Drosophila melanogaster: one gene and its partners. The protein of the gene in region 1 interacts with the protein of each later gene in a pairwise test. Each region holds a gene or a part of one and is shown on either strand. Other genes may lie near its edges. The genes, in order: ATPsynCF6L, RIC-3, vir-1 and CG17032.

Evidence for each region.
Region 2: the proteins of ATPsynCF6L (region 1) and RIC-3 interact in a two-hybrid assay, tested with the Drosophila melanogaster proteins (one large-scale study listed by BioGRID).
Region 3: the proteins of ATPsynCF6L (region 1) and vir-1 interact in a two-hybrid assay, tested with the Drosophila melanogaster proteins (one large-scale study listed by BioGRID).
Region 4: the proteins of ATPsynCF6L (region 1) and CG17032 interact in a two-hybrid assay, tested with the Drosophila melanogaster proteins (one large-scale study listed by BioGRID).

What each region holds. Positions count from the first base shown.
Region 1 is NT_037436.4:5,010,296-5,014,460, reverse strand, and holds ATPsynCF6L (ATP synthase, coupling factor 6-like), read left to right. Parts: upstream 1-2,327; 5' UTR 2,328-2,365; coding exon 2,366-2,661; intron 2,662-2,716; coding exon 2,717-2,864; 3' UTR 2,865-3,017; downstream 3,018-4,165.
Region 2 is NT_033778.4:21,015,711-21,024,636, reverse strand, and holds the start of RIC-3 (RIC3 acetylcholine receptor chaperone), read right to left. Parts: upstream 6,854-8,926; 5' UTR 6,685-6,853; intron 6,493-6,684; exon of another isoform or gene 6,369-6,492; intron 5,906-6,368; exon of another isoform or gene 5,879-5,905; intron 5,575-5,878; exon of another isoform or gene 5,555-5,574; intron 5,479-5,554; 5' UTR 5,251-5,478; coding exon 5,055-5,250; intron 4,898-5,054; coding exon 4,778-4,897; intron 4,551-4,777; coding exon 4,396-4,550; intron 3,645-4,395; coding exon 3,504-3,644; intron 3,447-3,503; coding exon 3,320-3,446; intron 3,137-3,319; coding exon of another isoform or gene 3,116-3,136; intron 2,752-3,115; coding exon 2,504-2,751; intron 2,304-2,503; coding exon of another isoform or gene 2,262-2,303; exon of another isoform or gene 2,175-2,261; intron 1,573-2,174; coding exon of another isoform or gene 1,472-1,572; intron 1,204-1,471; coding exon 1,051-1,203; intron 976-1,050; coding exon 883-975; intron 662-882; coding exon 512-661; intron 455-511; coding exon 320-454; 3' UTR 1-319. Other genes in the region: Sou (souji), read left to right, coding at 7,437-8,735.
Region 3 is NT_033779.5:12,419,765-12,425,716, reverse strand, and holds the start of vir-1 (virus-induced RNA 1), read left to right. Parts: upstream 1-2,277; 5' UTR 2,278-2,394; intron 2,395-3,854; exon of another isoform or gene 3,855-3,887; 5' UTR 3,888-4,012; coding exon 4,013-4,076; intron 4,077-5,952. Other genes in the region: Fam92, read right to left, coding at 1-178, 234-374, 429-588, 640-779.
Region 4 is NT_037436.4:15,956,576-15,961,683, forward strand, and holds CG17032 (uncharacterized protein), read left to right. Parts: upstream 1-2,267; 5' UTR 2,268-2,690; coding exon 2,691-2,808; intron 2,809-3,112; coding exon 3,113-3,933; 3' UTR 3,934-4,034; downstream 4,035-5,108. Other genes in the region: elgi (early girl), read left to right, coding at 175-264, 348-490, 564-1,008, 1,064-1,229, 1,292-1,395; Brr2 U5 snRNP complex subunit, read right to left, coding at 4,419-4,904, 4,963-5,108.

The DNA of each region.
Region 1 (4,165 bases):
GAAAAGCGCACACACGGGCAAAAAGCGGCAAATGCAGTTTTGTATATCGCTCGGTGCCTGTGTAATTGTATCTGTGTGTACTTTGTGGCATGCCACATAAACTTGATGCTGCTGCTGTGTGATATTTTAGCATTGAGCAGCTCTCAATCCCCCAGCATCGCATCCCGCAACCCCCTTCGCTCTCGGTGATATTTAAATCCTTGTTCCTACGCAGGGATAGCTGTTACGCCGGCAAGGACTCGACTCAGTTGGCTTTTGTATGCGCATTAATGCAACGACTCTCATGTTTATTCACACACAAATTTGCAGCGAATACAACGCACAGAGACTGCGGTGATAGCGGGATGCATTCACAATCCCACACAGAACCCCGGGACTCGGATACACTCGCACTTGGCTGAAGCAATCTGCTGGCAAATGCGCTTTACATTTTGCACACGCTAATACAATTTAATGGTCGCATTAATTTGGCGCATCTGTTGCATTTTAAAACACGCACACACAGCCACATCATGTACGAACACCCACACAGTTACGTGGATAGACTGGCACACAGATGCACAGATACACAGATACACAGATACACAGATGCACAGATACATATACACGTTCAAGGAGCGGCAGGCAACCGCAGGATACTTTGCTCACTTTGTTGTCGGCGGGGGAGGTTAAAGCATTTGCCAACTGCAAATAAAGTTGCGCTCAGCTAAATATTAATTCTAACCAAGTTAGGGGAAACTACTTTAATGGCGGGGGCGTGGCAGCCGCACAACTGCTTAATCCTTAGCTCTGTGTAGTAGTCGGAATGAAGATTGAGATACATGCGCTCGGCACCAGACAAAAAAGACCTGATATATGCCACCAGCAGGCAATAACCGTTTCACGTCTTCTTGTTTTCGCCAATGAACGCTTAAACTATTGGTGCACCGAACAAAAATACTAATAGAAATAGGATCGCAAGTATGTTGATAAAACAAGTTTCAATATTTTAAACACAGATAAAAAACCTCTTAATATTTATAGTTCAACTCAGTTTTTTTGACAAAAACTTATATTAGTATTTGTATTAGAAACTTGATCGATTCAAAACACGTAGGACGACAGCCAACCCTCTTCATTGGAATGTCAGATGCGTGGGAAGTTTGTTATTGCTGCCAATTAGGTTGCCATTCTGTTTGTGCCAATGTTTGCATATTATTTCTGCCCAATTTGCATTGATGCAATATTGTCCATGTCCCGCGCAGCGCTCCCCCCTCCCCCCCCCACACCTCGTTCCACTACATGGCGGCGTCAAATGCAGAAAATGTCAAAATTTAAATATTGAAAGTGACGTTGGCGTACAAAAACCCCTCGTGTTGCGGGCGTTGCACTAAGCGGATAAGCGCTTGTTAAATTTTTAATGCGTTGCATAATTTTTAGTTCGGTGTGGATATTTTGCACACAATATGTACGTACTATATGTTCGTATATTTTAATTCGAGTGGCGGATGCGAAACGCAGCATGAGTGCTGGCTGCATTTGAAATGAGCCGCATGTGGCGATGGCCGATTAAGCCCGGTTTAGAAGCTACACATTCCTCATTTCGCACTCGACAATGATCCATTTATTTGCACTGTCAGCGATGGTGCGGGAGGGGAAAAAAGGTGAATGGAAATTTATATTAATTATAATTTTCACAGCCATGTCTTCCCATCAATTATCAGAGTTTGTCCGACGGCTCAGTTCTCTTTTCAGCTCTTTTCTGCTCTGTGCATTTAAATTTTTCCCCTGCAAAGTCCTTGATAAACATTTTTCAATTAATTTTTATTTGCTGCCGCCGACATTTCTTTGTCCACACACGCGCATATATTTATGTATCTTGCTGCGTGCACATAAGCAACAGCAACAGCAAGTTGACGGCAGCAACATCATCGCCTTTATGTGTTTCACGTATTTCTTTAACGGATTTCCACTTGTCTCACTTTTTGAGAAAAACTTGTCGAGATGGCACTCGCATTGTCAAGCCCACTCACACACAGACATTCGCAGATACGACGAGTCAGACAGAGAGAAAATCTTACACGCTCGGGAATAAAGGAGAACGGGCAGCAACGGTGCGTAAAAATTCGTCCTGGAGCAGGGAAGCACTTCAGATGCGTTAGCCCAAAATGCGGGGTTTGATAAACGCAAAAAATACTCAAAATAAAAGATATAAAACGTTTAAAAATATAAATTCAAATCTTAAAAAAAGATGGCTTACCTGTTCTGAAGACAATGATTTTATTTTAATTTTGAAATCAAATTACCCTTGAGTAAGATATCTCAGAATCATATTTTATCGCATAGAAACAGTATCGTGTCAGCAGAGAACAAAACTAACAAAAAAATGTTTAGCCGTTTCCTAAAACCAAGCCTAGTTTTATGTAGGAGTGTGAGCAATACCGCATCCCTTCGCTACAAGGATCCCATTTATCAGATTTTCCTGGACAAGGTGCGCGAGTATCGGCTGAAGAGTCCCAAGGGAAAGCCCGTAGATCCTGGTCCGGAATTCGAGGCGGAGCTGAAGGAAGTCACTGAGCGCCTGGCTCTGCAATACGGCGGCGGCGAGGGCGTGGATATGCTCGAGTTTCCGAAATTCAAGTTGCCCGATATTGATATTGATCCCATTTCGGTTGATGATCTGTAAGTTACAGTTAAATTGGAAAAAGTTTTTATAAAAATATAAATATTTACTTAGACCAGAGAACCAACCAAAGCCTGAGAAAAAGAATAGAGATAAAGAAGTAAAGGCCAAAGAAAAGGGTGGGGAAAAAGAAGTGAAAGCCAAAGATGGCAAGAAAGCTGACGAACCAAAGGGCAAGGATGAAAAGGACAAGATAAAGTAGATCATCACTAAAAATAATCGTTTTAAATGTTGTTAAAATTTTCGCACAATTCTTAATACTTTAAAAATTATAAAATGTTTATGTTAAAAGAAAATGAATTTAAATGCCTGCAGATTCGAGCTACCCGTTTGTAGCTGTTCCAGGATAGAGCCGAAAAAAGAACGCACCGAAATTTTTATTAAGCACATACATGCATAAGCAGCACTCACACACACCATGCTTTTACCATGTTAAGTAATTCCTTAAACAACACAACAGGTCGCCGCCATTCGCATGGCCTTGTCCCTCCCCTTGGTCCTTCGTCCTTTGGCGCTCCCGCACGCCCCATCCCACCCACTTCCATTTTTTCCGTGTAACTGACGCTGAGTGGCAGACACACAGATACTCACACAAGCAAATTGAATTTAATGCTTTCTGCTGTTGCTCTTGATAAAACGATGGCAAGCGAGAGGAGGCAGCGTGTAAAGGACGAGCGTGGGAGCGAGAAAAACAAATCAAGAGACGTCGCGAAGGAAATACAAGCCAAACGCACAAATAAATACGCACAAGTACATAAATTTAAATTATTTTCGTGGCCTGGCCTCGCTTTCATTTATGCTTTTTTATTTTATTATGCCGCTCCGCTACAGTCGGCCTCAAGGATCCAAAGATCCAAGGATCCGGCATTTGACTACGGTCCAGACGTCCTGGCACACTTTCTGAATGCCATACGAGTGTCTGGCAGTGCGGTTGTATCTATACCCGTTGTATCTGTGTCTATATCTCTGGTACCGTTGCTGTTAATCTGTATCTGTAGCTCTGTGTCCTGTAACTGTGGCAGCGCATCTTCAGCTGTCTCTTAGCGAACTATGCGCCCGCATCGAGCAAACAACTACACCAACACACCGAAGACGTCCTTGGTCCTTGTGTAAGGCATGTTAACTGGGATTTGACAGCTCGTAAATAATATTTCGCTTGTTTGTTGGCTCGGTACAACGAGAGCAACGTCTTGCACAAGGTTGAAACAAAGACAGTGGTCTGAGTTCCCAACTTTATCTTTTTGCCTAAAACAAGGTAATATTCTTGTATTAAACCTGAGGTTTTATACATTTAAATGGCTTCTAAGTAGTTCAATTAAAATAAAATTAAAATATTTAATAATCTCTAATCACAAAGGAGCAGCGTTTAATAATATCATATTTCCAATCTTTGGTAAATCTAAATTATTACAAGAAAAACTGTTTTATTTAATTATATGCATATATTTTTTATCATAACTTTTTTCTTCTCATATCCGCTCATTCCTTGACATTTTCAACCAC
Region 2 (8,926 bases), on another chromosome or scaffold:
CTAGACATGCAAGTTTGGCTTTAAGTTTTGACCGAAAATGATTAAGGTTTTCAAGAGCATAAAGTTTTAAGGTTTACTTTAGAGGGAGTAGACACAACGTTGGCGTTTTAAAATCAAAACGAAGATATCAAAACATACAATATGTATATATATACAAATCAGATATCAAATTATTGGCAAATCTGTTTCGTGGCAATCAGTCATAATGTTCGTCGTTCAACGAAATTAGCAACGAAATTTCACTCGGCCCTTGCAATTAGTTAGTTTCGTCTGAATCAAGTCGTGTTCATTGCCAAATTATATATATATAAAAATCGATCTACTGCTCGTCGTGTCCAATTATTTCGATGTCATCAGCCAGAGGACTTTCCACTGCGGATTTGCCTGCATTTCCATTTTGTTGATTTGCGTCCAAATTAATCAATGACAATGTCATTCTGCTGCTAAGAATGATCTGCAAGTTAATTAAGTTAATTAATTGATATAGTTTAGTAGAATGGCTTATCCATACGGCTGGTTCCTCGGCTGAGCCATTGAGCTCCGAGTCGTAGACTTCTTCGCGTTTGATCTGGGAGTCGGCAACCAAAATCTGGGACTCATGGGCCAAAGCGCCTTCCAAGTAAATGGACTGCGGCTCCGGCAAGTTGTCTTCCAATTTGGACTGAAATCGAAGAGGGATTCTATTTAGTATTTCTGATATACATATTTAAAAGCTTCAACACATATGCGCAGAGGAGGTTGAGAGCGTAGGAAACATCCCAGTTTAATCACTTTTTTTTGTAGGGATATATTGAAAGCGTTAGGGTAGCAGTTAGTCGAAACTAGTCTAGTTAAGTTGAGAACTTGAAAGTGGTGGGGGGTCTGTGCGTCAGTGGCACTTACATGTTCGCTTGGCGCTCGGAAAACAGGCGTTGGAGGGCGTCCAGTCCACTTGTGGCCGCCCTCGCAACTGGCTGTTAACTCCATGCCGAGTACCTGCACCAATATTCGATTATTTACGGCAAAGATCTACGTACTCAAAGGTGCTATACAGGGTATATAATGGCATACCGTCAGTTCCTGTTCAGCGCTTAGATCCCGCCGTTTCCTGGCTCCCTTCGCCACGGTCTCCTGCTCCGGATTTTGGTCGGTGCTGCTTGCATGTCCATTGGATAGGTTCTGCTTGTCTAGTGGTTGCTCCCTCGTTTTTTCGTTGTCGTTTTTCTGCACAGGATACACAGGATATAATACGGTTAGAGAGGACACTCTCGAAACAGTCAGTAGAATGTGAGAGCTAAGCAATTCTATACAGCCTCAAAACGCAAGAAATCAGAAATCGAACGCATTAATTACTTCAATTCGTTGTGGTTAGGTGAAACGCAACAAAACTCAATTAGTCGAAGGATCTTGGTTAATAAACAAAAAGATTAAGTTCTTGTTACAAATTATATGTTCAAGGATTGCCGTGCCGGACCCTTTGAAGGTCTCTAACCTTATTCGAATCAGTTTCAGTGTCGCTCGTCGCCCTCTGCTTGTCTTGGCCATTCAATTGCTCGTCGGCCGCGTCTATCAAACCTTGTATGGCCGTAACAACTAGCCCCATGAAAGTACAGGGTATCAATTTGGGATTTACATTCATTTTTTTTTTTGTGTTTTTGCGAGAAACATGAAAAACGTAGAAACGACACAGAGAGTGAATATTTATATAGTTGTTTCTTTGTAGCTCTGAGTATGAAATGATGTTTGCGATTATCTTTATTGGCAATGTAAAGTTACGTATAGTGTTCGAATAGATTTCGAATAAGACTGCTTTGAATCGTAAAATATGTCCCCATCATAAGAGTTTAGTTTAGTTCAGATCGAGAGTACTCAGTGAGATGCAAACACATTTAGACTGGGTTCGTTAGTAGATACGAGTATGTGAAAAGATATGTTTATATATATATATATATATGCATATATCGCATGCCGACAGCAGACAAGCAGGTTAAATTAGAAACAGAGTCGGGAGAATTCCGTTCCATGCACTTGTTAGACTTGAAGATTAAGGACAGAGTGACATAGTTTTAGAACTGAAGGCTTTTTTTGGGGGGGAGGATGTGGCAGGGGGGTAAAAGAAACCATTCCGAGGATTCAGCTATTCACTAGAAACCAATTGAAAACAGAAATAATCTAGTTGACTTTGTTCGTTGTACTTAGTTGTGATCTGAGTTGTTGTTGGTCTGATTTTGGTCTGTTTTACTGACTGATTCTATGTGAACTGAATGATGGTTATTATTGTCTTAGAAGTTTGGCTGCCGCTTGAGAAACTTGAGGGCAATCATCTTGAAAATGAGAACACAAAAGAGATCAAATATTAATTCAAATGACAGCGAGATGGTCCAACTGAAATCACTACGATATATGATGTGCTACTAGATGTATCTGAGTCGCGTTGTATAGCTATATCTGTATCTGTATCTGCTTTTTTCCGATTCGATGACGATGGTAGGAAGCTACTGGATACTGGATGCTGGATGCTAACCTTTGCCTCATACTGATCGGTGTTCATTTCGGCCACCAACTGGGCCATCGCCCGCTCCGTGCTCTCGAGTTTCTGGCGCAGCTTCTCGATCTCCATCAGCTGCTCGGCCTCCTTCAGCTGCTGGTGGCTCTTCAGAGAGGCGGACAAACTGCTCGCCACCTCGGTGGCCGACACACTGGCGTTGTACAGCTCCTTTTCGGTGTCCTTGGCGGCCGGCTTCTTTGCGGCGGCAGTGGCGGTGGCAGCTCCTATAAAATTGTCGTACGGTTTGGTAATCAGGGCCGGAAATCGAATCAATCGAGGGACTAACGAAACTAAGGAGTATTTACACGGGTGCAGGAGTGGCAACAAAATAAATGTATATATCCATGGAAGCGTGATCAATTCGGGGTTAGTATATATATATATTTATAAATAGTATATAGGCACACAACATCTAGAATGAGTACATCTAGGTAAATGAAATAGAACACATAGTCGCTACGATACTACGATACCAAATGAGGAGGACATATTTCAAAACTCAAAAGGCCTTTGTCGAGGTCTAGAAACTCAAGATACGAACGAAACTCTATGGTCATCTATGCAACCATCTATATATATCTGGCTTACTTGTCTGATGCTCTCGCCAGCCTGATACCGTGGCATGATTTTCGGTGTGCATGGGTTTTTTTGGAAGCAGAAGAGTACAAAATGCGATTTTTTTTCGGTTAGGATTGAATCGTGAGTGCGGTGGCTAGAGCGATTGTGTGTGTGTGTGTCCAACTACGAGTGTAATAATCCGGAAGATGGCATCCGAATTGGCCTGGCACTCACCCAGTTTGCTGCCGCCCAAATCCTCCACCTGGCTGTGGTTCTGTGATCCGAAGACCTCCTGCCGGAAGGCAGGATTTGGAGGCGCCGCTCCGTACGGATCATTGGGAACTTGCTTCTTGAACATAATCTGCATGTAAGAGTTTTATAGTATTATAATTACATATATACGATCAAAGAGAGTCACCTTCATTAGGGTGTAGCCGAAGAAGACTACGATGCCAATGGTGTAGAGTGGCATTAGGAAGCCCATGCTGCTGCCCCGCTGTTGTGGCTGATGCAGTGCACCGGCGCCCATGGGTGGACGCATTCCAGGAATGGGTCCAGGCTAGAAAGTACATACATATGTCAAAAGTTACTGAAATACAATAGAATGCCGCCAACAATCAAGGTCATATTAAATGTATCAGGTATACGCCCCGGTGGTTTCTTAAGTCAATTGTCTTTAGATATTTTTGAACTGATCGAATATGTATATTCTATTGTCCTATGTAATCATAAAAATTACGTATCCGCCGCGATGTATATTGACATAAAGATTACTCAAGACAGTTGTCTTCGAAATCTTTTGAATTGATGTCTTTGTAGGAGAAGGGAATCGATTGTGTTTTATTGACAACCCATGTAATCATTAAAATTACGTATCCGCCCCGTTGTATTTTGACATGAGGCGAGGACAGCTGATTTGTGCTCCCCGGCCATTCTAGCATTCTAGTAGCGATGAGAGCAAAATGGAACTGGCGCACTGAATTTGGCACAAGTTCAATACGCAGCAGCACATTCGGCCGATCTCCCACTCATCATTTACAAATTCTTTTTTTGTGTTTTCTTTAGCGCTGTCTCTTGCCTTCAATTTGCGTGCAGTGTCATAAAAACAAAACCCGAATCCGAATAAAATAAACGTTTGGCTATTTATAAATGACTTCCAACGCGAGCGCGGATATGTCTCATCCCGCCGTCATTATAATCACATCGACCACAGCCCGCCGACCAGTATAACTATATATATTATAATTATGGATTTATCGTCCGGAGAATAATGCACACCGTATGGTTAAATGTATAGTAGCCCAACTCACCCGTCCGTCGACAATCCGCGGAGGCGGATTACTGGGCGAAGTCTTTCGTTCTAGAATCGGCACGGTGGGCGTGGCGGGAATGGCGCGACCCCGCTCCCTCATGGCCTGGTATATGGATTCCGGATGCAGGTGGGCGGGACGCTCCTGGCGCAGACCTGCGACCACAATGGATTCATTAGTAACACAATTAAACTATCAAATTTTTAATTGACATAAACACTACATTTTAGAAACCCAAACATTAATAAACTCATTAATACCGTAAAGGTTAGGAATCTAAATGTATCTCAATCGATTGTTTCATGTAGATACAATCTTGTTAGTAGAGCCAAACACCGTTAGTAAAACCAATAAGCAAATTATAAATAATCGAGCCACATACTTATTTCGCCCGTGTAAACATTGATTTGCTTGCGATACAAATGCGGACCGAAGGGCTCGACAGTGTCCTTCTTCGTGGCATTCAGAAACTGCTCCCTGTCCAGGACGACATCACAACATCCTACAACATCGACCGGACAACAACAACACCCACATACGGAAATCAAAAGAAAATCATGATGATAATTCATAAATAATAAATGATAAATGAAATTAAGTAAAGTACAACATTTATAAGCCCTAGCTCCTAATGTGGTGAATAGAATCTGATGACTTACCGCCTGGTGCTGCTCGTGGATCCTTGAAGTTTGGCTGGCTTGGAGGCACTCCTCCGAACATCATGGGATGGAAGACCTTTGGCCACAGGATGGCAATGCATCCGATCACGGTTACGATGATCAGGGCGGTCTTCTTGGGCGTCATGCCCTCCTCGACGAGCGGAGCTCTCGGCTTGGATGTGGCTGTAGCGGGCATTTTGGCTTGGTAGCGGATTCCGTGGGCTATCTGGATTCGTTTGGCTATGGGTTCGTGGTTAAAGCTAGTCCCTAAGGCAACTCTGCTATGTGTTCCTGATCGATTTGGTTCGTTGATGGCTCCCTGCGAGCTGTTGACTATGCGCTGTGTTTCTAGTTGCTGTTTAACTTTGGCATTGGCTCATTTTGGCTGGCTAATGGTTGATTTGCTGTACGTTTAAAGCATTATCTGAAAGATACATAGATGCATAATCGGTTACACGCTACAGTTCGCTGATTCCGGCTTTCGTTGGAGTTGTATTCACATCACTGATCGGTCACGAATCGCAGCGCAAAATGCTGTATACGTTTGAATATTGTTGCGGGAAAACAAAAAAGTTTATTACATAAATAGCGGTCCCGATCTTTTTTATTTTTAGCTCGCGCAATTCGCTCTTTTCGGCCCGTCTAATAATTCTTTATTATTTTCACTTTTCCCACCGCACAAATCACAATTAACGACCGCATAAATAATATTGAACGTTTCTCCAAAAGAAAATGCTTTCGTATCGCTTTTGGAAAACGGTTTTTGAACGACCAAGGGTTCGAAAAAAAATGAAAACAGAAAACTGGACAGAGCGACTGCTTACGCAAAGTTCGAATGTTGTTCCCGAACTGGCCAGGCAAATTTTTGAAACTATTAGCGAATTTTCGGCAGATCAGATCTGAAGACCCGACACACCATTCGGGCGCGCTTTTCCCCATAATCGTCGTCGGCCATTATTTTCCTTTATTTTTGATGAGACAAGTGATTTGCAGCTTGGGCCTGCACCGGGAATTTCCGAGAGCTACGCTACAGCAGCCGACATAACATTAATGCTCTCTAATTCATTTCGGAAATAGATTTTAAATCAAAATACATATAACTGCTTGGGAAATTGGGCAAACTTAATTTGAAATATTTCAGCAAAAAAATTTTATAATATAATTTTAAATTTAATTTTTTGAGCTATTGCTGCTGTTTTGCTGACCAGCACTGTGTGCGAAATTTCGTGTTTTCATATTTTTCATTTCGCAGCTTCTTCGCTCTTGTTATCACACACGCACACACACACTGCCAAGTGCTATGAGTTTTCCGACCGTTTTCCATTTCGCTTTCAAGCGCACTGACTGAAAAGTGGCGAAAGTAAAATTGTTTTTACTATGCACGTCTGTTATTTGCACAGCATCTTCTTATTTCCACCACTTTTATTTTAAAAATTTCCCTCTTCTTGTCACTGTCTACATTAATTTGGAAAACGTTTTTCGAGCTCTCTGCGCTTTTATTTTTGGAGGCACAGCATTTGTAATTTGGGTTCAATGCCGTTCGGCTTAAGACTCATCACTTATTTTTAAAAATTATGAATTCAAAGTGTGGAGATTTTGTCCTTGGAATTGCTCTCGTGTTCTGAGGTACCTTTTAAATAATTATCAGTTTCGTTTTTAAAGACTAACACCTTTGGTTTCAAAGTTCGTTTTCTTATCTAATTACGCTAATTTCAAACTGTTTGTTTGTCGTTATAAGTTTCTCTGCCAGAAAGCAGCAGCAATAATAATTGATTTTTCAGTCGACCGAACGGAGATGGGCAGCATTGGCTGTCAATCGATGCATGCGAGTGCTATCGATACTTTTCTATCGTTTAAAGTTAACGGATCCTTTACACTGATAGAAGGCTTATGGGATTTAATAAATTTTTGTATATTTGTAATTGTTTTAAATGGAATCACATTATTATTAATATATAAAGGTCAAATATATATTTGGTTCGTAAAATGGTTACTTTATTATGCATTATTATGATGTTAAACTAGACTAACTATATATAACTAAGGATCAACTAAGGATCCAATATAACGGTAATACGTAAAATGCGGAATATACAAATATTAATTCGCTCAGCACTGTTGCCCTTTATCGAAATTAAAATTATTCGATTTATCGATAGCATCGTGAGTGGTCCACCCAGCTCCAATGTTTTCGTCTTCTTTGTGTTATAAAATTAACAATTTATAAATACGCATTTTCCGCTGGACCACCGAATATCGTCGTGACTTTGAAGAATCACAGTGCTATCAATCCTCGAAAGCAAAAGGTTGTAAAATCGAAAGTGAACGCGCGCCTGGCGTGACTGGTTTCTAGGCTTTCACCCCACGAAACTGGAGCTAACAATGGACAGCGAGTCGTTGGCCTGTTCGTCGGTGGAGAAGGACCTGACCCGAGTGGTCAGCAAACTGGAGCAGCTTCACGAGAACGCAGAGGCGGACATCGGAGATATAGCCACACAGATGTCGGAGCTGGTAGAGGTTCTCAGCAGGGCGGAGCAGCTGGTGACCACTCTGAACTCGAGCACCCAGGTGTCCCAGGACGATCCCATGGGCGATGCGGTGAGCATGCAGGTGGAGACGGAACCGACGGCACCACAACGCCTAACCGAGCGCCAAGTGGAGAGCGTCCGGAATGCTCTCGCCAGGTGCCACGAGCGCGTGCAAAAACTGTCCACGGAGCACCGCGATCTGCACGGCTCCATTTCGAAGATCGGCAAGGCCATTGACCGCAACTTTAGCGCCGACTTCTCGTCCACCATGCGAGTGGACGTGCTGCAGGACGAGGAGAACCTGATGTTGCTGAACAAGGCCATTGCCAAGCATTATTGTCGCCAGGGCATGGACGATGTGGCTCGCACGCTAATCCGCGAGTGCAAGATGTCGCCGGAGCATGCCCAGGATGTGTTCGACTCGGAGCGCGAGTTTGCCGACATCTACGGCATTTGGGTGAAGATCCAAAAGCGGGATCTGACTGACGCCCTCAAGTGGGCAAAGATGTACTCCCAGCAGCTGAGTGACCGCCACTCGCTCATAGAGTTCCGGCTGCACCGCATGCGTTTCATGCAGCTGGTCTCCTACGGATTGGACTCGCAGCGCGAGGCCATCTCCTACGCTCGACTGAACTTCAAGAAGTTTGCTGTGCGCTATGAGCACGAAATAGCCAACTTGATGGCCAGCTTTATATATCTGCCCAGTGGACTGGAGAACTCGCCTTACAAGCACTTCTTGGGCCAGGAGAAGTGGACCGAACTGTCGTTCATATTCCTCAAAGACGCATGCCAACTGCTAGGCATTAGCAAGAACTCCGCCCTGTCTGTTGTGGTCAATGCCGGATGCACTGCCCTGCCCGCCTTGCTCAATATCAAGCAGGTGATGCAGTCGCGCCAAGTCCTTGGCATGTGGAACGGCTGCGACGAGTTGCCCATTGAGATCGATCTGCAGCCGGAATTCCGATTCCACTCGATCTTTGCCTGCCCCATATTGCGCCAGCAGACTTCCGAGGACAATCCGCCGAAGAAGTTGACCTGCGGTCATGTCATATCCAACGACGCCCTGCACAAGCTGAGTGTTGGCCACATACTGAAGTGCCCCTACTGCCCCGTGGAGCAGAATGCCGAGGAGGCTGTTCGCATCTACTTTTAAGCCACATCTATGTATTCACCTTATGATAATCACCACTGCTTATATGACCAGGCTCAGGCGGTTCGAGGACTGGTGTTGGTTGGCCGGCTTTCCTTAACAAAACGTAACCATTTTAAGATAGCTTGCTTAGATTCATGTTTTTAGACAAATTCGCAGAGCGGAATCGAACTGCCTGGGCCGTCTGTTTTGCG
Region 3 (5,952 bases), on another chromosome or scaffold:
CGCTGAGTATCTCCAATGCCTTGGTGTGCTGTTTCATGGCGATCAGTATAAAATCGCTGATTATCTGCTTTAAGTCGCGCAACTTCCGCTGCTCGAAGTTGCCAATAATGTCGTCTATCTCCTTGTTTGTGCGCTGCACCTCCATTTTGGCCTTAAACAGCTCCGAATCGGCGGCACTCTACGGTAAGTTTTGGGAATTATATAAGAAGTAAATTGTTCGTTTTAATACCCACATTGTTCGCAGAAAACTTTGACTTGAGCTCAAGCATCTGGCGCTGACGTAGTACCTCCTTATCCCGCGCTATGACAGCCAGTCGAAGATTGTCCCTTGTGGACTTGCAAAGCTGCTCGAATTGCGCCAACTCGTTGACAATCTACATAAGTCAATAATATGATATAAGATGCAGATTTAAAAAAGGATAATTCACCTTGTGTTCCAATCGGTGTACATTGATGTCCATGTAATCACCCATTATGGTAACCGCGTTGGTGAAGCTCTTCAGTCCCTGACAGAGACTCTCGTTGATTTCCTCGTCGTCGGCGTAGCTCTTCACACTCTTGGCCAACTCATCAAAGGAGTCCCGATATCTGCAAGGTCTTATGATTATTCATTCAGATTTATTTATTTACCAAACTCACTTGGCCATTTTCCGCGTTACCAAAGCAAACGAAGAGCACATCTCCATTAGATGCCTTTCTGTTATGTTTATGCGCTCGTTTATTATTTTAACACGGTCATCTTTGGTGTTTAGAAAGGATAGTTTTCCACGACGAAACATTATTATTTTATTTTAGTCCCTTATATTTGTTTTCCTTCTTTATTTATTTTATTTCGACAATAAAATCAAGTGAAAACCGTTACCAAGGCAACGTCTAAATTCATCTGGCAACTCTCGTTCGAACAGCCAGCATATTTCCAGCTCTGTAAAATTAACAGAAATGTTAAGAACCTACTGCTGCCAGGTGGCGCTAGTATCAGCGTCTTCTGCAAGTACATAGATGGCGCAAGAATAAAGTTTATCAAGGAAATTTAAAACATTCTAAAAATATTCAATCCTAAAATAAATATCTGAATATGGGTACTTCATTTTTTTCCAACAGTGTCAAGGTCAAGAGCACGTTTCGTTATAATCTGTGAGTGTTTCTGTCTGTCATCCGGTGTCTAAATTTAAATTCGAAAGATTTATGACTAATTAAGAGACTGCAAATGATAAAGAAAAATATATATAATTAGTATATATAAAAAAATAGAAAATATACTACGATATTTACCTGAAGATCATAGCATTGTAAATAGTTTATTTAAAAACAAGTCAATCTGATATTTTAAAATATCGTTGGTCCTAAAAGCCAAGCTTTACTCACTTAAATATATGTAGGACTAAGCTGACTCAAATTCTTCTCACTTCGAAGCCTTGACAACCAAATCTTGTTTTTTGGGGAATTTATTGACTCGACCGCAAGAATGTTGTGTCAACGATTAACCGAAAATGGTAATTTATTTTAAATGCTCCTCTGCCACTTAAAGGCATAGTGCAATCAAACCTGTATTTAGTAAAACGAAAATAGCAGTTCGAATAAAACCAACGAAAGTGTAGTTAAAACAGAATCCGGTTCGTGGGACCACGACAAGAATTACAAGTTGTAGAGCATGAAGAGCAGCCTGCAGGAGATTTTAACAGCTGTAGCTGCGCCGATCGCGATTTCAATCTGGTCGAAAACCATAAAGCAACACGGCTCCCAAGAGGCAAGTTCAGGTAAAAGGGGGCAGGTGGACTTCATTGTCAATCCAAGAACGTAGCTTGGCGCGCGTTCCTTGTCGCTAACTATATCCCCGCCTCTTTCTCGGCGCTGTCGGCCATCCGCTTTGAATTTCTGATTTTTATACATACACCTCGAACTCCAACGGTTTTGGTCAAGGGACTGCACTGGAGGACATTCGCGTTCCGCTGGCGACATTCATTTTTGCTCCCACTGACGTGTCAATGAATATTCTTTTTGTAAAATTTCTGCTACTTTTTGGGTAAACAGGATGGGGCATCTTTGGTAGTGGATCTGTTGTAAAAATATAAAATTGAAAGTTCTTTAGTTATTTTTCTTTTTTTTTTTTAATTAAAACATTGTTGAATGCACATTTGGAGCACTCGGAAGACCCTTCTTCGCTCTCGTATTCTTCTCTGCGCATTCCTCCCTTTCCCGGTCTCTCTTCTCAATTCTTTGTTTTTTTTTGAGTGCCAACGACGTGAGCTGGTATAAATGAAGCCAAAATCGTACGCAACCGTTTAGTCCGAAACGTTTCATTAAAGCCAACGCACGTTGAAGATCGCGCGTTCTTCTCCGATCTTTCGAAATCGAGTGATTCAAGCGATCCACAGAAATAACTGTATGACACCGGTAACAATAATAAAATTTATGCAAATTCGCGGTTGTCGGCATGTGTATGTGAATGAAATTGTGTGCGTGAACAATTTCCGCTTCGGCGCTGACAAAAATGTTTACAAACAAACAATTTGCAGCTTGTTTAGGCTGTCTGGGCAATAATTTGGATGCCTAATTTACTTCACGCAGCTGTTTGCGAAATATTTACTTGTGCTCACTTTTATGCTGAGCCCAACATAAACAATAGCTTTCTAAAACTATCAGACATTAAAAATGCTATTTAAAGTTTATAGTTGCTAATTTTGAAGACCTTGAAAAATTTACTGTCGGGCAAGATATTTAAATAATTTTCTGATGTGCAAAAATTCCAGTTCATTTTGAGATTATAATACATTCTAGATTTAAATCAGTGTATAATTATACAAATTCTTTACGGCTTTTTATATTTATCAGAACTGTAATTGGGTGTTATATCGTAAGTTCTCTCGGGTCAAAAAGATCATTCATAATCGGATTAACTAAAGATTTCCAATAAATTGCCGATCTTTGGCATATTCGTTAGTAAAATCGTGATTAAACCCGGCTCAATCAAGGCGTGACTACTTTATCGATGGAATTAAAAAGAAGCACTCTATCATAACCATTTAATTACTGAGAATAGTCTTTAGCTCCGTTTTCATTTCCTTGGAAGAAAATTCTCAATAGCTGCCCATTAGGGAAATAAGCAAATGATGCTTTTGTTTACAGAAACAACAACCTTGAACTAAACACCAAGCGCATTTAACAGGTGATTCGAGCAGCCGTTGAATAGACATAGTTCCATACAATGCAATCGAAGTGGAATTGAAATACGAATGGGGCGACTGAAACATTCAGCAACTGTGACAGGGACACATTTAAAGTCTGAAATACAAATATAGTGGAATAGAGAAGCCCGCGTGCAGCTAACGAAGCATAGACAAAAACTGATTAAGTAAATTGAAAACACAACTAAATTTACAAAAGGTTCAATGAGCAACGGCGACTTTCAAACACCCTTTTAATCGAAATTTTAAAATATTAGTAGCAAATGCCCTTTTAGAACTGCTTTTATATATATATAATTATAAAGATAAAGTTATATTATATTATATTTTTTATAGTAGTAGATACAATAGTTAATGAACCAGTAAGCTATAACGGAAACAAAAAGGTGTAACGAAAATAAAAGTTAACTTAAATGTGCCTAAGAACATTACTAATACGCTGCATTCTGTACACAGTGGAGTCCCCAAATATTGTACCCAGTTGACGGGCACAGTGTAGCGCTCTTCCCACAACACTTGCCGCCTGCCATTTGGAATATTTATAAGCCCAGCGGCTAATTGAGTGAGAGGGAGAGCAAGAGAGCGGTCAGCTAGTCACTCACTCGGTTTCTCACTCGCTCACTCACTCAGCCGGCCGCCGTTTATTTGCCGCTTCCTCAAATCATTTAAGCGCATTTGACGATTGTTTGTCTTTCCGCACAGAACAAAACTGAACAGAATCGAATCCGGTTGCCGGTCCACATCAACGCATCAAAGCTTTCAGCCCTAAATAAACTATACAAATTAAACAAATTATAAGCTTGTGAAAAAAAAAAAACCAAACAAAAATGAAGCTCTTGTTCGGTTTGCTGATGACCGTGCTAGCCCTTAGCGGCGTTTTCACATTGCCAGGTAAGTGAAAGGCTTAAAAGCAATCCAATCATGATGCACTTCATAAATTAACATTTAAATGATTAATACTTGAAAACTAAATGTTAACTTGCCCTAAGTAATACGTATAACGGAACTAACTAATATGCAATTTGTACACATATGCAACATACATATTTGTTTTCCTTCTCTTTACTTTCTCATTTTTATGTGCACATAATTAGTTATTAAAAAACACAGTCAACCTTTTGACTTTAAAAACAAAGAAAATTGATAAGCACCGGGAATTCTGATTTGCACTCTTCTACGTAGTACGTTCCTCTTATACCTTCTTGATCTGGAATATTCTGGTAGAATCTTAAAGATTACCTCGATGTAATTGTGACTTGGAGCAATATAAATAAATTATTATGCATATAATACGTAATTATTAGTAAATACAATCTGTTGGATATGAAAAAATGTTTTAATTCCACTCTGCAGCAGATTAAAGTTTAAAGTCGCTGCCTTTGCCGGATAATGATGTCAGCATGCTGATAACAAAGCGTGGCACTTGACAATCAGCCAAATGCATCTTACAGATACAACACAAGTAACTACAAATGGCAAAATATCAGGAATGCTCGGCGCAGCATCGCAGATCCAGCGTCCTTTATTGTCATCATCAGCGTTTGCTGTTCGCTGCCTTTGGCTGCCACTTGAATGCATAAATTGCTGAAGAAGCTGCCAGCGAATCGCAGATACCCCCACAGATGGGCGGAATGGTGGGAGTGGGCGTGGCAGCGGGTTGGCAGCTGCCACAGCCACTTGAAGTTGTCAAATTCGTTGCTGTCCAAATCATTTGCCAGGAATATACAAATTTTATGCAACACTCGTGAATCACAATTTTTCGGCAAATCTTGCTTGAGAATCATCTTAGCAATGAGTGCTTGAAATTGCAATGAAATATTTCGTAAATTGATGAGACAATGTTTTTTATTACATATTTCAAAATACACATAGTAGCTACTCTAACTACTGTGCATATAAGTCAGATTAGTACTGTTTAAACATTTGTTTTCTCTATTTAATTATTAATGATTTGCGATCTGAACATGCTGAGAATAGAATCATATCCAATTAAAATAATTTACGTAACCAATTAAATCACGATAATTGTGGATATACTGGATTTATCTGCAGGCTAATCTATTCTGGATTATATATTTCAAATTTAAATTAATATTGTTACATTCTTCAACAAACTCGGAATCGGTTGAATGAACTGTCATATTATACACTCAAGTCATCCCAATTTCTCTGGCTGATTGCAAGTGAAATTCTTGAGCACTTTTCTTCGCTTGTTTTGTTTTCTTATTTTTCTTAATTTGGTTTTTTATGAGATCGCTTCATGTCAGTGTCCCATGGCCAAAAGAATTGGGTTAATTGTGGCCATAATTCGCTTTTAAGAACTTTTTCCAGGGAATGTCTTTCTCTGCCCCAGAACAAATTGCAATTGCATGTTCACATAAATCACTTTTTTTTTTCCTTTTTCGAATTTCTGCTGCTCGTACGTGGAACTATGTGTGGAGTAATAAAACTCAAAACAATTATGAAAATTATTGGTGAATTATTACATGTATTTTTCATTGTTGGCATTTGCCGCTGAATAGACGGGCAATTTGTTTAATTTAGACGGATATTTTGTTATGCAAATTGAAGTTAATTTTCGAGCCCATACAAATGTTTTGGTTAAATTGTATGATATATAGTGAGATAATTAACATTTTGTGTCTGGCCTAAATCAGTTGCAATTGTTATGAAGTGGAAATACTCACAGTTTTTTTATGGGGCAATAAGCTGGTTATGAAAAATTGGTGGTCATTTAATTGAAGATTAATTCAAGTCTTATTTCTGA
Region 4 (5,108 bases), about 11 Mb from region 1:
CCATTTCTCGCGGATTACAGCTGAAGTGCCATCCTAGCTTTCCAACACTACTCAGTCACACTACACAACACTGCACTGACTGAACCGAAAAAAAAACACACAGATTTTGCAATCCGCAGAAAAGAATTATTAATAGTATTTTTATGCGGATGGCCAGCGTGCTGAGGACCTAAGATGGGCTACGATGTGAATCGCTTTCAGGGGGAGGTGGACGAGGAGCTCACCTGTCCCATCTGCTCCGGAGTGCTTGAGGATCCGCTGCAGGTTTGTTTTGTTTGCAAAGAACGCACACCGCGAATCATACATATGCTTTAAATACAAACAATCATACATATCTACCGATTCAGGCCGTGATGTGCGAGCACGCCTTCTGCCGCGGATGCATTAACGAGTGGCTAACCCGCCAGCCCACTTGTCCGGTGGATCGAAATTCCCTGACTACTGCCAACTTGCGGGCAGTGCCTCGCATATTGCGCAACCTACTGTCCAGGTGAGAAAAACCCAACGCCTTCTACTCTGTGAACCTTGTGGACTCTAACTAATCTTTGACCCTTGCCAACCAGACTGTCAATCACCTGTGACAATGCGCCTTATGGCTGCACGGCTGTTCTCAAGCTAGACGCCTACAATTCCCATTTGGACGAATGCATTCACAATCCGAAGCGACCATTTCCCTGCGAGAAGGGATGCGGCTTTGACATACCCAAGGATGAGCTAAAGGACCACAACTGCGTGCGGGAGCTGCGCACTTTAATTGTCAAGCAGACGGAAAAAATGGGTGAGCTCAAATCGGAGCTCACCGACCAGCAGCTGACTATCAACGAACTGAAGCGCGAGCTGCAGCTATTCAAGGACTTTATGCGTGCCATGCGCGTCTCCAATCCTGCGATGCGGGCCATAGCCGACCAGATGGAGCGCGACGAGGTGATCCGCTGGAGCAGCACACTGCCCCGGGCCAGGGTTACGCGCTGGGGGGGAATGATCTCTACGCCCGACGATGCACTGCAGGTGAAGCCCAAATTCTAAATTTTTTTAAAACGTTAACTCACTTTTCATTTGATAGCTCATGATCAAGCGCGCTTTGTCCGAGTCGGGCTGTCCGCCACACATCCTGGATAGTCTTATGGAGTTCTGCCACGAGCGACGTTGGCCCCGTGGGCTCAGTTCGCTAGAGACACGTCAAACCAATCGTAGGATCTACGACAACTATGTGTGTCGACGCATTCCAGGTAACAATTTTAAACATAAATATTAACAACAAGGCTTTATCTTTAAACTTACTCTTCCGCAGGCAAGCAAGCTGTGCTCGTTTTGAGCTGCGACAACCTCCACATGACTGAGGACGTCATGATCGATCCAGGTTTGGTCATGATCTTCGCCCATGGCATCGAGTAGGCCCTCAGCCGCTGATTAACCACTTATCCTAGGTTAAATGCTAACTATATCGAACAGTGCTCAGTTTTGTTGATTCCTTAACGTAAGAGTAAGCATTAAAAACAATATTGTAAGGAAAAACTCGCAAAACAAACCATTCAAGCGCCTCATGACGACTTTCAAGTTGTACAAAAAATATATATTACTTTCGGTTCATTGTGTTTTATCCATTTAGTTAGTACGCAAATTCGTATACATCATCAAGTCGTTCGCATATACCCAATATTACATGTTTGATTAAGCGATCTCAACAAATGTCCCTTTGTTATCGTTCACTTCATTCTCATTTTGATGGAAGGAAGCTGTGAATGTCCTAATTCGCGTTTAAATTCGTATTGCACAACTTACTTAAATTTCTGAAATATTTGTCAATACTTTTAGATTAAATGTGGAAAGAGTAATAAACAGTTTATTTAACTAATGTATTCATGGAAGAATTTATTACTATAATAAACCATTTGCTTTTATAATTGATTTCTTTCAATTACGAATTTAAATTGTAATAGTATGTTACAACAAAATTCCATTTATTCATTTATTTAAGCACTCCCATGAATTATTTTTCTGAAAGATTGTCTAGCCTTTTAGATTAGAAATAGAAATAAAAGTGATTATTCCAACTAAACCGATAATTCTAGCCTCTTATCAGCTGAAAGGGCAGACAAGCGTCTGCCTTTGGAAATCCTACACAAATGTTCACTGGGATGCCCCCCACTTGCAAGCACCAACTCATTCGGGGAGATCTGTCCGCCTCCACTCTGTGGACCCGTAAAAGTTCTGGACAACATCTGTTTCCCGAAATGGAAATCGAAAAGCAACAAAAACCAAGCAGCAAGCAACCAAGCAACAAAATAAACAAAAGAAAACCAAACTAGTTCCTCCACGAGCTTTGGCCGCCAACCGGTTTCGGCTTTTGTACACCCGTTTTGTTTTTTTCCTACATAATACAACATTATACAAAGTTTGCATCGGTTACATGTGCCAAAAATCGTTGGATTATACAAGCCAGTTTTGGTTTTCAATTTTTTTCTTCGTATTTGCCGAACATCTTGAATATTGATAGAAGCAATTAGCGCCATCCAGACCAAAGGGGCAGCCCCCTACGGCGATTGAAAGTGAGAGTTGATCGGCCGATTGGCGGCGGAGCGGACAGGCTGAAATATATACATCCAACAGTTGATCGCGAAGCGGCGCAGCCAACGGACGTGTCCAGCTGCGATCTCCAGAAGGCAACCAATCTAATCGAAGAACACGAAATGAATGTATCAATTCCGGTGCTATTTGTGGCCCTCATCTGTCTGGCAGCTGCGTCGGCGTTTCCTCAACTGAGGCAGCGCAACGAGAAGCAGGTTCAAACCGGCGATGATGATTTGCGTAAGTAAAATTCTTAACGCTCGAAAATCTTACAATTCTTAGATTGTAAAACTTCCTAAATACATTTGGAAAATACTTTTCAAATCTGAAATTCTGTAAATATATATAAATACATATCTATCTATAAATTTTTGTGTATACATATGTACACATTCTGTAGTGCGAACAAAGCGTAAAATATTTAGTAAAATAATAGATTGCTCCGAATTTTTTAATAATAAGCTTGCCGATTATTCAGCTTCTATTAATTAAATTAAAATAAATATAAAATATTTTATAAAGTATATACCATTGCATTTTACAGCTTCCAAGGGCGCCACTATCGAGGAAGTAGTGGTGGAATCAGCCTTGTACATCAAACCGAAGTCTAATCCGCAGGTGCGTCGCGTCCGTTCGGTCCTGGATCAAATATCCGGAATCCAGGCCGCTCACAAGAGGGTGAAGCGTCAGTTTGGGCGACAATTTGGTGGTCAGTATGCTGGAAATCCCGGCTTCGGTGGCGGATTCGGTGGAGAGCCTGGTTTTGGAGGTGGATTCGGCGGTAATCAAGGATTTGGAGGCAACCAGGGATTCGGAGGTAATCAGGGTTTCGGCGGTAATCAGGAATTCGGCGGTAACCCAGGATTCGGAGGAAATCCCGGATTCGGCGGTAATCAAGGTGGAAAAGTTCAGGCAGGTACATCGGCCGGCGCTGGGGGAACCAAAGCGGGTGTTGATGTTGGTGCCGGACCAGATGGCGGCAATGCCAATGCCAACGTCGAGTTAAATCCGCTGGGACCACTCGGACCCAGTGGTTACAACCAGGAGCAGGCCGCATCCAACGGAGCTGCCCACAGCAACTACAACAATGGACTCAACTCAGGATCCTCGGCCGCCAGTGGGCAGGCTCAGGGCTTCCAGTCGCAGAGTGCCAATGGATCATTCGGTGCCTCCTCCGCAAGCACGGCCACTCAGTCCCAGAACACCAGCCCCTTTGGATCCAATAATGCGGCAGGTGCTTCGCTGAGTCAGGTTTACCATCTTCCCAATGGACAGACAATAAACTTTAGCTCCACGAACAGCTTCGCTAATGGAGGAGCCAATCGTGGCAGTAGCCATGGATCGGCAGTTTCTGTCAGCCGCTAAAAGCCAAGTTCACCATACAGGGAAAATACCTCCAAGTTAATCTATTTGTCAGCAATCCTATGTGCAAATATCTAAAAAATCCAAATAAATATTTATGATTGAATTGAATTTGAATGAATAATTTGAATGATTTTTTTAAAATCTAAACGGTTGCATTTTGATGATCCAGATTACAAATTACAACAAACTTGAATTGTTCCATACGAAATTTAAAAGCTTAAGACAATATAAGAATTGGCACTGTTGACTACAAAATATTTAGATTCTTGGTATCAACCAGCGAAAGAAAGTTGAAAGGTTTTTTTTATTTTGTTTTTTTTTTTTTTTGTACTACTTTATATAATTATCCTCAGTGTATCCTTGTACAATTTGGTTTCTACTAAAGTAGTACACGAATTTATTATTGCTACAATTAATGCGCGTAAATTGTAAAATGATTGATTTTCATTTGTGCAAACATGCCCAACTGATGATCCTAAAGAAAACTAATCTGACTCGCTTTCGCTTTCCGACTGGAAGTCACCCACTTCGATGGAAAACTTGTACTCCTGATCACAACCCAAATAGGAATCGCTCATGTAGTACAGAGTGTAGTCGTGTTTGCCCGGACTAGGTGCCACAAAGTCCAGCTTGACCTTTGCCTTTTGCTGCAGCGTGAGCCGTTTGATGGAGAGCAGGGAGTTGGTCTTGGGATCACCTATGACGACCCACCATCCTTCTTCGCGCTTCTGCGGGAAGAATGGAGCAATGACTGGGCCAGTGACCTCATCCTCACGTTCCAGTTGAACCACTACATTAACGGTTGATCCTGAGTTGATGCGATCCTTGTCCACCACCTCATAGTTCAGCTCAATGTTGGGGTAACGGTTGCAGAATCGAGCAACATCGGCCATTTGTAAATCGGAGAGCTGCAGCAGGCGAGTGCGATCCTCGTCCTCCAATTCCATGATATCGAAAACGGTTTCGATTTTCTGAAATATACGACGAAACATGAGATAATCCTAGAGATTCACTTGTTGTTACTCTCACCTTCTCTGTGCACCGCTTGACAATCTCGGGACTAAAGTGCGGCAACTGTTTCAAGTACGAGTCCTTGCTCCACATGGCCTGCGTGACCATCTGAGCCAGCTCCATGGCAGCCACAGCCGGCGACAGCCAGCCATTTGAACTCAGCA